Linked DNA regions of Caenorhabditis elegans. Changing the gene in region 1 together with any one later gene gives a genetic interaction. Each region holds a gene or a part of one and is shown in the gene's direction. Other genes may lie near its edges.

What was found.
Region 2: changes in sur-6 (region 1) and sos-1 together harm fitness more than expected from each alone (negative genetic interaction), as found in Caenorhabditis elegans (one large-scale study listed by BioGRID).

The regions. Positions count from the first base shown.
Region 1 is NC_003279.8:9,752,203-9,758,432, forward strand, and holds sur-6 (Serine/threonine-protein phosphatase 2A regulatory subunit sur-6), read left to right. Parts: upstream 1-1,919; 5' UTR 1,920-2,035; coding exon 2,036-2,231; intron 2,232-2,569; coding exon 2,570-2,667; intron 2,668-2,721; coding exon 2,722-2,978; intron 2,979-3,027; coding exon 3,028-3,163; intron 3,164-3,410; coding exon 3,411-3,480; intron 3,481-3,531; coding exon 3,532-3,696; intron 3,697-3,744; coding exon 3,745-3,869; intron 3,870-3,918; coding exon 3,919-4,055; intron 4,056-4,101; coding exon 4,102-4,276; intron 4,277-4,645; coding exon 4,646-4,774; 3' UTR 4,775-5,686; downstream 5,687-6,230. Other genes in the region: F26E4.2 (Tnp_DDE_dom domain-containing protein), read right to left, coding at 5,687-5,826. UniProt on the Caenorhabditis elegans protein: Probable regulatory subunit of serine/threonine phosphatase let-92.
Region 2 is NC_003283.11:4,546,245-4,551,239, reverse strand, and holds the start of sos-1 (Son of sevenless homolog), read left to right. Parts: upstream 1-1,948; 5' UTR 1,949-1,960; coding exon 1,961-2,080; intron 2,081-2,132; coding exon 2,133-2,219; intron 2,220-2,329; coding exon 2,330-2,416; intron 2,417-3,367; coding exon 3,368-3,670; intron 3,671-4,995. UniProt on the Caenorhabditis elegans protein: Promotes the exchange of Ras-bound GDP by GTP. May regulate signaling pathways downstream of receptor tyrosine kinase, egl-15 and let-23.

The DNA.
Region 1 (6,230 bases):
GTCCCTAAAAAGAAGAGCCCAACTCATTACACTTTTTGCGAACACTAATTGACCCTACTTTCACTGAACTAAGTTTTCTTTTACGAAACGGTCAAAATGTGCTTCCAAATAATGATAGTAACATTTTTCAAATAAAAAAAGAAAGAGTTGACTGTCCATCAATGCTATTAGCTTCGCACACAGTTTCTTTGTGTTCCATCGTCGAGCTGTCTGCGTAACTCGTTTAGGTGCACTGTCTCGTGTTTCATACTCTGCGTCATTCCGTTTTCGCCATTCGGTTCGTCGCCGGCGCCATAGCCAATCGATTATTTGGTTCTTCAAGGCAGTAGTCGCCCATCTCTTCATGTCTCCTCGCGCTCCCTTCGGAAGAACACTGATATCTCTTCTCGCTCCTTCTCGACGTCTTCTTTTCCTCCCCCACCATGTCTTCTGCTTCTCCACCGGCTGATGCTGTCGTCGCCTCATGCTGCACACGTCGTTGACACTCACAGGCCCGCACACACATGGAGGGAGTGCTCCATCTCTCGTTTTTGCCGCTTAGAAAATGGATGTATATTGTTTTTTAATCCATCATGATTCCTTCCGTCTCCGTTTTTCACTTTTTATTACATTTTGCCAATTGGATTTCTGTTGATCACAACAATCTTATTCAGCATTTTCCTTATTATTATTTTGAAATAATCAAGCTTTTAACTTTTGAAATCATATTTGCTTTCTGATCAATAATTTTTTGTTTCTATCGGAGGACAGCTGATAAGTAAGAGGTTCCTTCTCGTGTAGTCATGAGTAGTCATTGATTATTTCCGTCTTGTTGTTGCCCTCTGGCCAGCTGCGTGAAGTTCTTCTCTGCGTGATCGCATACTGTTTCAGTCATTTTCCTATGACTCATCTGATAATTATTGATCGATCGATTGGTTATCTACCATTTTGAAAAAAAAGTTGAAGTTATAATCTGATTTTGCGCCTCACTCTGCTCATTATTATTCGGCACACACGCACACATACACACTCATTTTTGTTTCCTTTTCTGTCTCTTTCTCTCTACGGTCTGTCTATTGCTCCGTTTTTGGTTAACTGGAATTCACACAGGTGAGGGAGCGGATTAGGAAGAAACTTGAATAGAAAAAAGAATTCAGTGAAAATGAGATGATTAGAGAACTACCTCGAGCCATGTATCTCTGCTTTCGTGCTTTATGAGCATTCAGTGTTGATAGTAATAACATAATGAGATGACTGAAGAGACGCAGATGTTGTGAAGAAGCTCGAATTAATCTCGCGCGTTTGCTCTGCGCCGATGGATTAAGAGTCCCTTGGTTGGCAGACGAGATCTCGGTAAGCATCATCTGCTTGTTTTCTCCAACCAAATCTTCGTGCTTTTGACCAACAATTTTTTTTTGACTAAAATGCGGCGATCAGAGAGATATTACTTATAAATTGATCTACGTAAATTAAGCATCCATTATCAACATTTTTGTGTTATTTCATTTTCTAATTTTGTTGCACTGAAATGCACTCAAAACCGGTCCCTTCCGTTTACAAATTGCAAATGCGCCCTTTCGCACCCTAGTTTTTTTGCCCGCGTTTCGTCATGTAAATTGCGATAGCATTGCGGCACCGCTGTGATTCTCGGTCATTTTTGTGATCGAATCAAACATACAAACTTTTAAACAACGTTCTTTGTCTCTAATTCTCTGACCTGAGTGTTCCATTCCTTTTGACTCTTTGAAAAAACTTTGCAGCTATTTCTCTTTCAAACAATTGTCTTAATTTCCTGTTTTACCATGTTGTGCTTTTTCTTCATCACTCGACAGATTTGTTGCCTAGCAACCTGCGGCATGAGGATTTATGCTTCTTTTTTTCCCGATGTCAATCTCTGAATTCCTAATCCAATTTTGTATATAATAATTTCCATTTTTCAGACGCATTAAAAATAGTCGTCATTCCCGTGTCTCAAACACTTTAATCTTCGTCACATCCAGTGATTAGGAAGGGAAGAGAACCAAAGAAACAACGAAAAAGAGGAAAAATTTGAATAATGGTGATGGAAGTGGACGAACCTGCAGTTGCGGCGACTACATCGCAAAATCAACCGCAGGAGCATGCGAATGACTTTGATATGGATACCTCCGAGGGACCAATTGAGAACGATGAAACATTTGAACCGGTAGATCAAATAAATTGGAAATTCAACCAGGTGAAAGGAAATATAGATGCCGATGTGCACACGGAAGGTAAAAAATTGTTACTTGAAATTTCCCTACGTTTTTGATACTATTTCTTAAAGACGCACGATTTATTCAGAAAAAAGTTGGTGGTTTAATTGCCTTGTTTTTTTTTAAAATTAAAATACTACTTAGTTCATTTTTTGCGAAATTTGTCATATTCTTTTCATTTTTCTGTGAAAATTGTTTTAAATCAGTTTTTAAAGTAAAACATTCGAAAAAAATTACCATAAACATTATTGCGCGCCGAGACCCATCTGAATTAATGCGTGCGACTTTAAGATGATATGTCAAAAATTAGTAAAAATTATGATGCCTAGAATACTGAAAAATCGAATAATTTTCAGCCGATGTGATCTCTTGTGTGGAATTTTCACACGATGGTGAATATTTGGCAACGGGAGACAAAGGAGGACGTGTTGTAATTTTCCAACGAGATCAGAGTGTAGGTTTTAGTTTTTAGAAAGACGAGAACTGTTTTAAATATTTAATTTTTCAGGGAAAGTATGTGAAAGGCGTTCGATCGAGGGAATATAATGTTTACTCGACATTTCAATCTCATGAACCTGAATTTGATTATTTGAAATCACTAGAAATTGACGAGAAAATTAATCAAATTCGGTGGCTTAAAAAGAAGAATGCAGCCAATTTCATTCTCTCGACCAACGACAAAACAATCAAGCTGTGGAAAATTAGTGAAAGAGAGCGTAAAATTGGAGACGATGCATGGAATCTGCCTAGAACAAACAGAATCAAGTATAACATTAATGATTAAATATTTTAAATATATAAATATAATTTTCAGCACTTCCTCCTTCCGAGGTCGCTTACAAATACCCTCGATCGTGCCAATGGAGTTGATAGTTGAAGCAAGTCCGAGACGAGTTTACGGAAATGCTCACACTTATCACGTCAACAGTATTTCAGTGAATTCTGATCAGGTATTTTAATAATTTTTTTTTGTGTTCAGCTTTTTTCAATCCAAAGTATACGATGAATCAAAATCTCAACAGTATAACCTTCTTCACATGTTCGGCGTATTTTTTTAACTATTCAATTTATTAGAAAAATAGTACCAGGTTGGCTGAATTCTTTTTTGTGAAAATTTAAAATGTTTGGTACTGCAAGGACCAAAATATCAATTATGTATAAGTGAACCGAAATTAAAAATTATATTCCGATTTTCAGGAAACATTCCTATCTGCCGACGATTTGCGAGTTAACCTTTGGAATCTGGAGATTACCAATGAGTCTTTCAGTGAGTTTTGAATACTTGTTTTCAAAAAATTTTAATATCGATTTCTTCCAGACATTGTCGACATCAAGCCTGCTAATATGGAAGAACTTACGGAAGTTATTACTGCCGCCGAATTCCATCCAACGCAGTGTAATTGGTTTGTATACTCTTCATCAAAAGGATCTATTCGATTGTGTGATATGAGAGATCGTGCTCTATGTGATGCGTATGCTAAAAGTGCGTTTGGTTCTGTGTATTGATTATATAAATAATATTAATTTGCAGTTTTCGAGGAACCAGAAGACCCTCAATCTCGATCTTTCTTCTCGGAGATTATTGCATCTGTTAGTGACGTCAAATTCTCACATAATGGAAGGTACTTGCTTACGAGGGACTATCTTACTGTCAAGGTAATTATTAATAATTAAAAAGAAAATTTGAACAACTTTTATATTTCAGGTGTGGGATTTGAACATGGAATCACAACCGGTAGAGACATATCCAGTGCACAATTATTTACGAACAAAACTCTGTGCACTCTACGAAAATGATTCAATTTTCGATAAATTCGAGTGCGATTGGAGTGGAGATGACAAGTAATTAATTGCAGTACTTTTTCATATTATAATTTTCTTTTTGCAGACATATTCTCACGGGTTCGTATCATAATCTGTTCCGTTCATATGCTCGTGGCAATAACCAAGATGCGAAAACTTGGGAAGCTCGGCCTCAAGAACCACATTCACAGCTCCGATCTCGATTTGTTGTACCATCAGCGAAACGGAAGAGAAACAATCTGTCATCAAGCGGTGAAACGGTAAGATTTCAATTAAATTTAAAAAAACGTCTTCATGTTTAAATGGGTCTCTGCGCGCAAAAAAAGTTTATGGTAGTTTTTATTTTTATTTTATGCGACTGCTTCTCGTTTATTTTTTATTTTTCAATATAATTACTTCGTATTTAGCGACATTTTTTCGCTAAAAATACACTTTAAACGACGTAATTTTATTGAAAATGTAAAATAAACGAGGAATCAGCCGCATAAAATAAAAGCACAACCGTAAATTTTCTTGATCGCCAAGACTCATCTGAATACATCCGTGCACCTTTAAGAATGCATGTTAAACTCTCGTGAAAATATGATAAACATATCTTACTTCAAAATCAACAAAAACCCAATTTACAGACCGAAGAGGATCTTTCATCTGATCAACTTCAATTTGATCGTAAAATATTGCACACAGCATGGCATCCAAAGGATAACATCATTGCTCTTGCTGCCACTAACAATCTCTACATCTTCTCAGATGTTTAAATTATTGTTTTCGTAAACTTGTTGGATTTCGTCCTCCCCCAATCATCATTTTCCCTTTTTCTCAATTTATCCTCAAATATCACATTCATATAACTCTAAATTTTTTTTTCATATTTTCCCCATATTTTTGTGAGTCAATTCTTTCTCAAATCCCGTCCCTTCTTTCCCGTTTTCGTAGTCCTCATGTCGACTTATAGACATTTAATCGCGTATTCAATGTTACTCGCTTTCTTTCTTTCAAATCCTTCGTCATCGTAAATTTTTGAAGTAAAACAGGAATAAGCTCTTAGTTGGTTTCTATTTTTCAACTGTTAAAGTTGTCTTTTGCTTCCAATTTGAGATAGAGTTGTACTTTATTATTCTTATAGCTTCTTTTTCTTTACTCTCTCCCTCTCTCTATCCTCTCATATCATTCTTGAATTACGTGGCCCGTTTTCTATACTTTTCCCTCACTCTTCAACTCCAGTGTTCTCTTTCTTGTCTCTTCCACCACCACTTTTAAAAAGATAACTGTAGATCCTTAACCCCGAATCATTCGGGTCGTGTCTCTCCCACTTTTAGGATGATTTCTCCTGTTAGATTCACAATGTGTTTCACGACTTAATCCTCTTGTTTGAAAGCGTGTGAAGGTATTATTCTCACCTTGTTAGCTCCATTCTGTAATTTTGAAAACTATAAAAATCGCCCAAAAAATTTTTGAAATTTTTCCGACTTTAGTTATTTTCTCTCCACTTTCTCTGTTCGTTTGTCTGTCACAAAATTACAAACTTTCAAATCAAGAATCTTGACATAAATTTTTGTATTACTTCCCTCATATTTCTTCATCATTAAATCCCCGTGGGTGTGTCTCATCATTAAGTCTTCCTTTTCCCATAAAATTGTAAGCAATATTTATTTTCCAATCATAAAAACTCATTTATTGAATGGAAATAGTCGACAAATGTACAAAAACAATAATAATAGTATCACATTTGTGGCGATGAGGATTTCAGTTCCATGGCGACGATATGTTTGACGTACTAGTACTTGTGCATCATATGTGACTTTGGAGACTGAAATAAATTAGAAAAATATATTATTGGTGTCTCGACACGACAAATTTATAAATGCGAAAATGTGCGCGCCTTTAAAGATTACTGTAATTTCAAACTATTGCTGCTGCTGAATTTTCACCGAATTGCATAGTTAGAAAAATGGAATATAACAATAAAAGCATAATTTTGAACAAATAATTAGAAAAAATTTAAAAAAAAACTCGATGAAAATTCCGAAGCAATCATAGTTTGAAATTACAGTACTCTTTAAAGGCGCACAACATTTCGCATTTAACTAAAATTTGTCGTGTCGAGGCCGCGTACCGTATTTTTGACGCGGATGTATAAGAGAATAATTAATTGAAAAAAATCGATTATATTACGTTGGATTTTGTTTTGAAAAAAGTACAAAAGTTATAACT
Region 2 (4,995 bases), on another chromosome or scaffold:
GAAGTCGGTCAAATTTCAAATTTTAACTAAACCTAGGCCATTTTTTGAGCCACCATAACTTTTTTAAAACAAGTTTTCAAGATGTTTCATTATAAAATTCGGTGTTTTCAGACTATTTTGAGTTTAGTCAAGAAATAATAATCGAAATAAAAAATCGACTACACCACTTTTAGCATGAGATAAACGATAAAAGTATGCAATAAAGGGTGATAATTTAATAAAAACTGTAAGTAAAATTCCAGAGGCTGCCATAAGCAAGAGTTGCCGAAATTTCGGCTTTTTTTTCGATTTTTTTTTAAGAAAAAAGTCTCATTATGATATCCAGTCAGTTTTGGTCTATTCAAGCAAAATAACCAAAATCTCTACTACTTTTCAAATTTCTTCAATTCGATCGAATTTGACCTCAAAAAAATCGAAACGAGAATCAAAAAAGAGTCGACCTTGAAGTAGTGTATTTGTGTTGATTAGGTGGGGCTACTGATTGCACTGCAAATCAATAAATATATAAAGTCTTCTCAACAGATCAAACTGGTTCGAATAGAACAAGGCCGTGGTGAGAGATGGTGGCCGGCCGTTGTCGGGTGTCCATTTCTCTAGAATCTCTCACAGATTCCTGCAGTATTTCGTCAGCAGCCGCCGGCGGGTAACCCCCCGCTTCCCGTTCTCATCCCGTATCATTCTGTCCGCTTGTCTGTCACCTCTACGCTTCCATCACACTCCATCTTTTCTTCTATTTCTTCTTTTCAGTGTGTGTGTTGTTCCATGCATTATTTTTGCGGGTTGTAATCATCATCATCATCGCCATCATACACTTTTCTCCTTCTTCTCCATCTTGCTTTTCTCGCTCTCGTCAATATAGTTTTTGTCTTAAATAAACTTTGCAAAAGTGAAAATTTAAAAAAATATATAAATTCGTTCCTTGCATGCAGATTTTTTTTTCTGAAATTGCCGGAATTTATGTTACCAGCCAGGGATGTCCGGCAATTGTGGTTTGGCAAATTTTCTTGTCCACAAATTCGGCAAATTGCCGATTTGCCAATTTGCCGGAAATTTCGATTTTCGGCAATTTGCCGATTTGCCGTTCGCCGGATATCAATTTGCCAGAAAAATGAGGGTTTTTTATATATTTTTTTATATTTTTCATAACACTTAAAACTGTGCCTTTTTGAAATTTTTTTCCGGTTTTCTTTAGATATTTTCATAGAATTTGCTAACTTTTCAAAATAGATGTAGGAACATTCATAGGATGCGTACAATTTTGCTGATTGAAATTGAACTTCTGGAATTCCCAAAAAAAAAGTGCAAGGCCACAATTTGCCGGTTTGCCGATTTGCCGGAAATTGTCAATTCCGGCAATGTTGATTTGCCGGAAAGTTAGCAAAAATCGTTTGCCGATTTTTTCCAGCAAAGCGGCAAATGGCCGGAATTGAAATTTCCGGCAAATTGGCAATAAACCGGAAAAGTGGCAATTGTCGAAAATTTTCGGCGAAACGTGGTTTTGCACTTCTTTTTTTGTTGGAAATTTCAGAATTTCAATCTAAATCGGCGAAATTGTACGCATCCTATGAATTTTCCTACGTCTGTTTTGAACTGTAAGAAAAAATTTAAAAAAGGGGCAGTTTTAAATGTTCCCATCTTATAAAAATCCCTCTAAACATTTCCGGCAAATTCCAATTTTTTCGAGGAATTGGATTATGTTCCATATATCAACGAAAAAAAAAACAATTTTATTAAACAAAATAAATTGAAAAAATTCGGAAATTTTTCATTTGACGGTATATGCTAAAATATTTTTTTCTGTTCACTTTAAGGTACTTCTGGTGATTAGAAAATTTAAAAAAAAATCGATTGTCAGCGTAAGAATTTATTAATTCATGAATTTTAACTCGTAACTTATTGTTGGCCCACTAATATATTTTTTCCTAAATAATTCAAAATTTCATTGCAGATGGTCATATAAATGAGCATAATGAGCATATCACTGCACTCGGCATCATCGGATACGGTCTCGTTGACCAGCCGACGAACAATATCAACTAGTAAGCATTGGGCGGCTATTTTTGATGAAAGAATTTATCAGGTTTGTATATATTTGAATATTTCCTGAATTCAATAATATTTTTCAATTTCAGATATGCAATATCGTACATCCTGGCCTCCCGATTGACAATGCTGCAGTTGAGCACATTCGATATTTTTTGCAAAGTATCGTTTTTGAGGTATATATATATATGTATATATCGGTTTTTTTTCAAATCTAACAAATAAATTAATATTAATAAATTCCCCCTGTGCATTTCTTGACCTTGTAATCCTTTCCCCTCTTCAGCTCATCGAAGCACGTGCCACAAGTGTCGTCGAAGTGGACAAAACTGCGAAAAAGCTGTTCGCATTCGGTCTGCAGACTGTTTGTAAAGTAAGGGATTTTCAAAAAATGTTTCCAAAAAATTTGTATATTCATAAATCATCAAAAAAGATCGTGATTTGATTTTCAAAACTATTCATTTTTTGTCTTTTATCCTGAATATTCAAGTTTATGGAATTCTTTCCGCTTTAAAATATTTTATTTAAAATGTACTACGAGAACACAAAAATCTGAGAATGCGTATTGCACAACATATTTGACGCGCAAAATAACTCGTAGCGAAAAAGAAAACTACAGTAATCCTTCAAATCACTACTGTAGCGCTTGTGTCGATTTACGAGATCTCGATTTTCGTATTAAAAGCGATGGAGCTTATTTCGAAAATTGGGCCCCGTAAATCGACACAAGCGCTACAGTAATCATTTAAAGGGTTACTGTAGTTTTCGCTACGACACATTTTGCGCGTCAAATATGTGCAATACGCATTCTCAGATTTTTGTGTTCTCGTAGTACATTTTAAATAAAATATTTTAAAGCGGAAAGAATTCCATAAACTTGAATATTCAGGATAAAAGACAAAAAATGAATAGTTTTGAAAATCAAATCACGATCTTTTTTGGTGATTTATGAATATACAAATTTTTCTTTTTTTTGCCTAAAAAATCTGGGTTTGGACAAAAAAAATATTAAAAAAGTAGTGAAATTGGTGAAAAAACCAACAAAAAAAAACGTTTTCCACCTAACATAAATACAAGAAAAATGAAATATACTCTTTGGGAAAAAAATATTTTTAAAAATTCTAAAATTCTGAAAAACCACAAATTAAAATGAACAAACCACGAAATATTGAAAAATTCAACTTTCGAAAATTTTCGTGATTTTAAAATTTGGATTTTTCAGAATTTGAGACTATTTTTGAATTTTTCGGAGCAATATTCCCCCTAAAATGTGTATTTTTTCTGATTTCTCGAATTTTCTTAAATATTATTTCAAAATTTGCAGGAAGCCTGGGACAACATGCACCAACAACTCCAAAAGCACAAATATCAAAAAGCCCTGAAAACAGTTCTAGAAAGCCAACATCGCCTGGCAGCAGTCATCAAAGAAACACTTGGACCACGAGAAAAAGAGAAAAAAGATCGAGAAAAGAAGGAAATCGAACGTATCGCATGCTATATTTATTATGCATGTGAAAGTGTTACTGAAGATGTGCTCAGGCTGACTGGAAATTATGTGAAAAATATTCGAAATAGTGAGCAAAAGATTACGATGGCTAATCTTGATGTGGCGATGAACGGGGATAAGGTACTGCTTTTTTTTGGAGAAAAATATAAAAAAAACCTATTCAGCAGAAAATTTGCTTCGAAAAAATAAAAATAAAAATAGTCTTGAATTCAGAAAAAACCAAAAAAATCGCAATTTTAGCTAAACACAATTTTGTTTTCGAAATCGAAAAACGAGAAAAAAATTTTTTTTTTGAAAACAAAACATTTTTCGCCGAAAAATACGAAGAAATAATAAATTTTTCGCCAAAAAACACAAAAAAGCGAAAAGAATAAACATTTTTCAGTTTATAACGTTATTTTAAAAAAAAACTTGCTTATTTTGACCAAAATTGCATTAAAAAAAATTCGAGTGTGATTTTTTGGAATTTATGTAAAATTTAATATTTTTCTATATTTTTCAATTTATCAGAATTTTCCGCTTTTTATCAATCTTTTTTTCGAAAAAAAAGCAACAAAAAAAAACACATTTTTCGCCAAAAACACGGCAAAATCTACAACCCTGACTGCTGCGACCAATCAGCGATTCGCTCCGCCCATTCTTCAACCAATCAGATGGAGTGGGCGGAGTTTGGTGGCGCTGATTGGTTGTGCAGTTTTCGTTGCGGTGGGAATTCAAAGTTAGCCAAAATTTTCACGATTTTCTTGTGTATTTTTTTCCGAATTTGAGACTATTTTGGTTATTTTGAAGCGAAAATTCAAAAAAAAAAAATCCCAGAAATTTCTGAAATTGACCTAAATTGACCTGAAAATCGATAATTAGACTTGTTTGCAAAGAAAAAAAAAAGGAAAATCTAATTAATATAGCCGTCGGCAATATTATTGCCGAAAAACGATATATTAATTGGGTTTTCTTTGTTTTTTTTCTGTTTTATAATTGGAAATATTATTTTTTCAGACTTTTTTCTGGAAAAAGGGTATAATTTTAAGATTAAATTATCGGTTTTTGGCCAATTTTGGCTAAATTTGTTTCAAATTCTCTTTTTTCATAAATTTCATCTCAAAATTATATTGCATATGTCCACTTCGTGCCAGGCTGTCCCATTACGGTTTGATCTACGAAAAATGCGGGAATTTTTTCCCAGAAAAAATGTGACGTTAGCACGCTCTTAACCATGCGAAATCAGTTGAGAACTCTGCGTCTCTTCTCCCGCATTTTTCGTAGATCAAACCGTAATGGGACAGCCTGACTCCACGTGTATCTGCACGTGGTCTCAAAGTGTCCCATTTTGGTTTGATCTCCGAAAAAGGCGGGACGTCACATTATTCCGAGGAAAAAATTCCCGCATTTTTTGTAGATCAAACCGTAATGGGACAGCCTGACTTGACTACGTGTATGTTACGGTG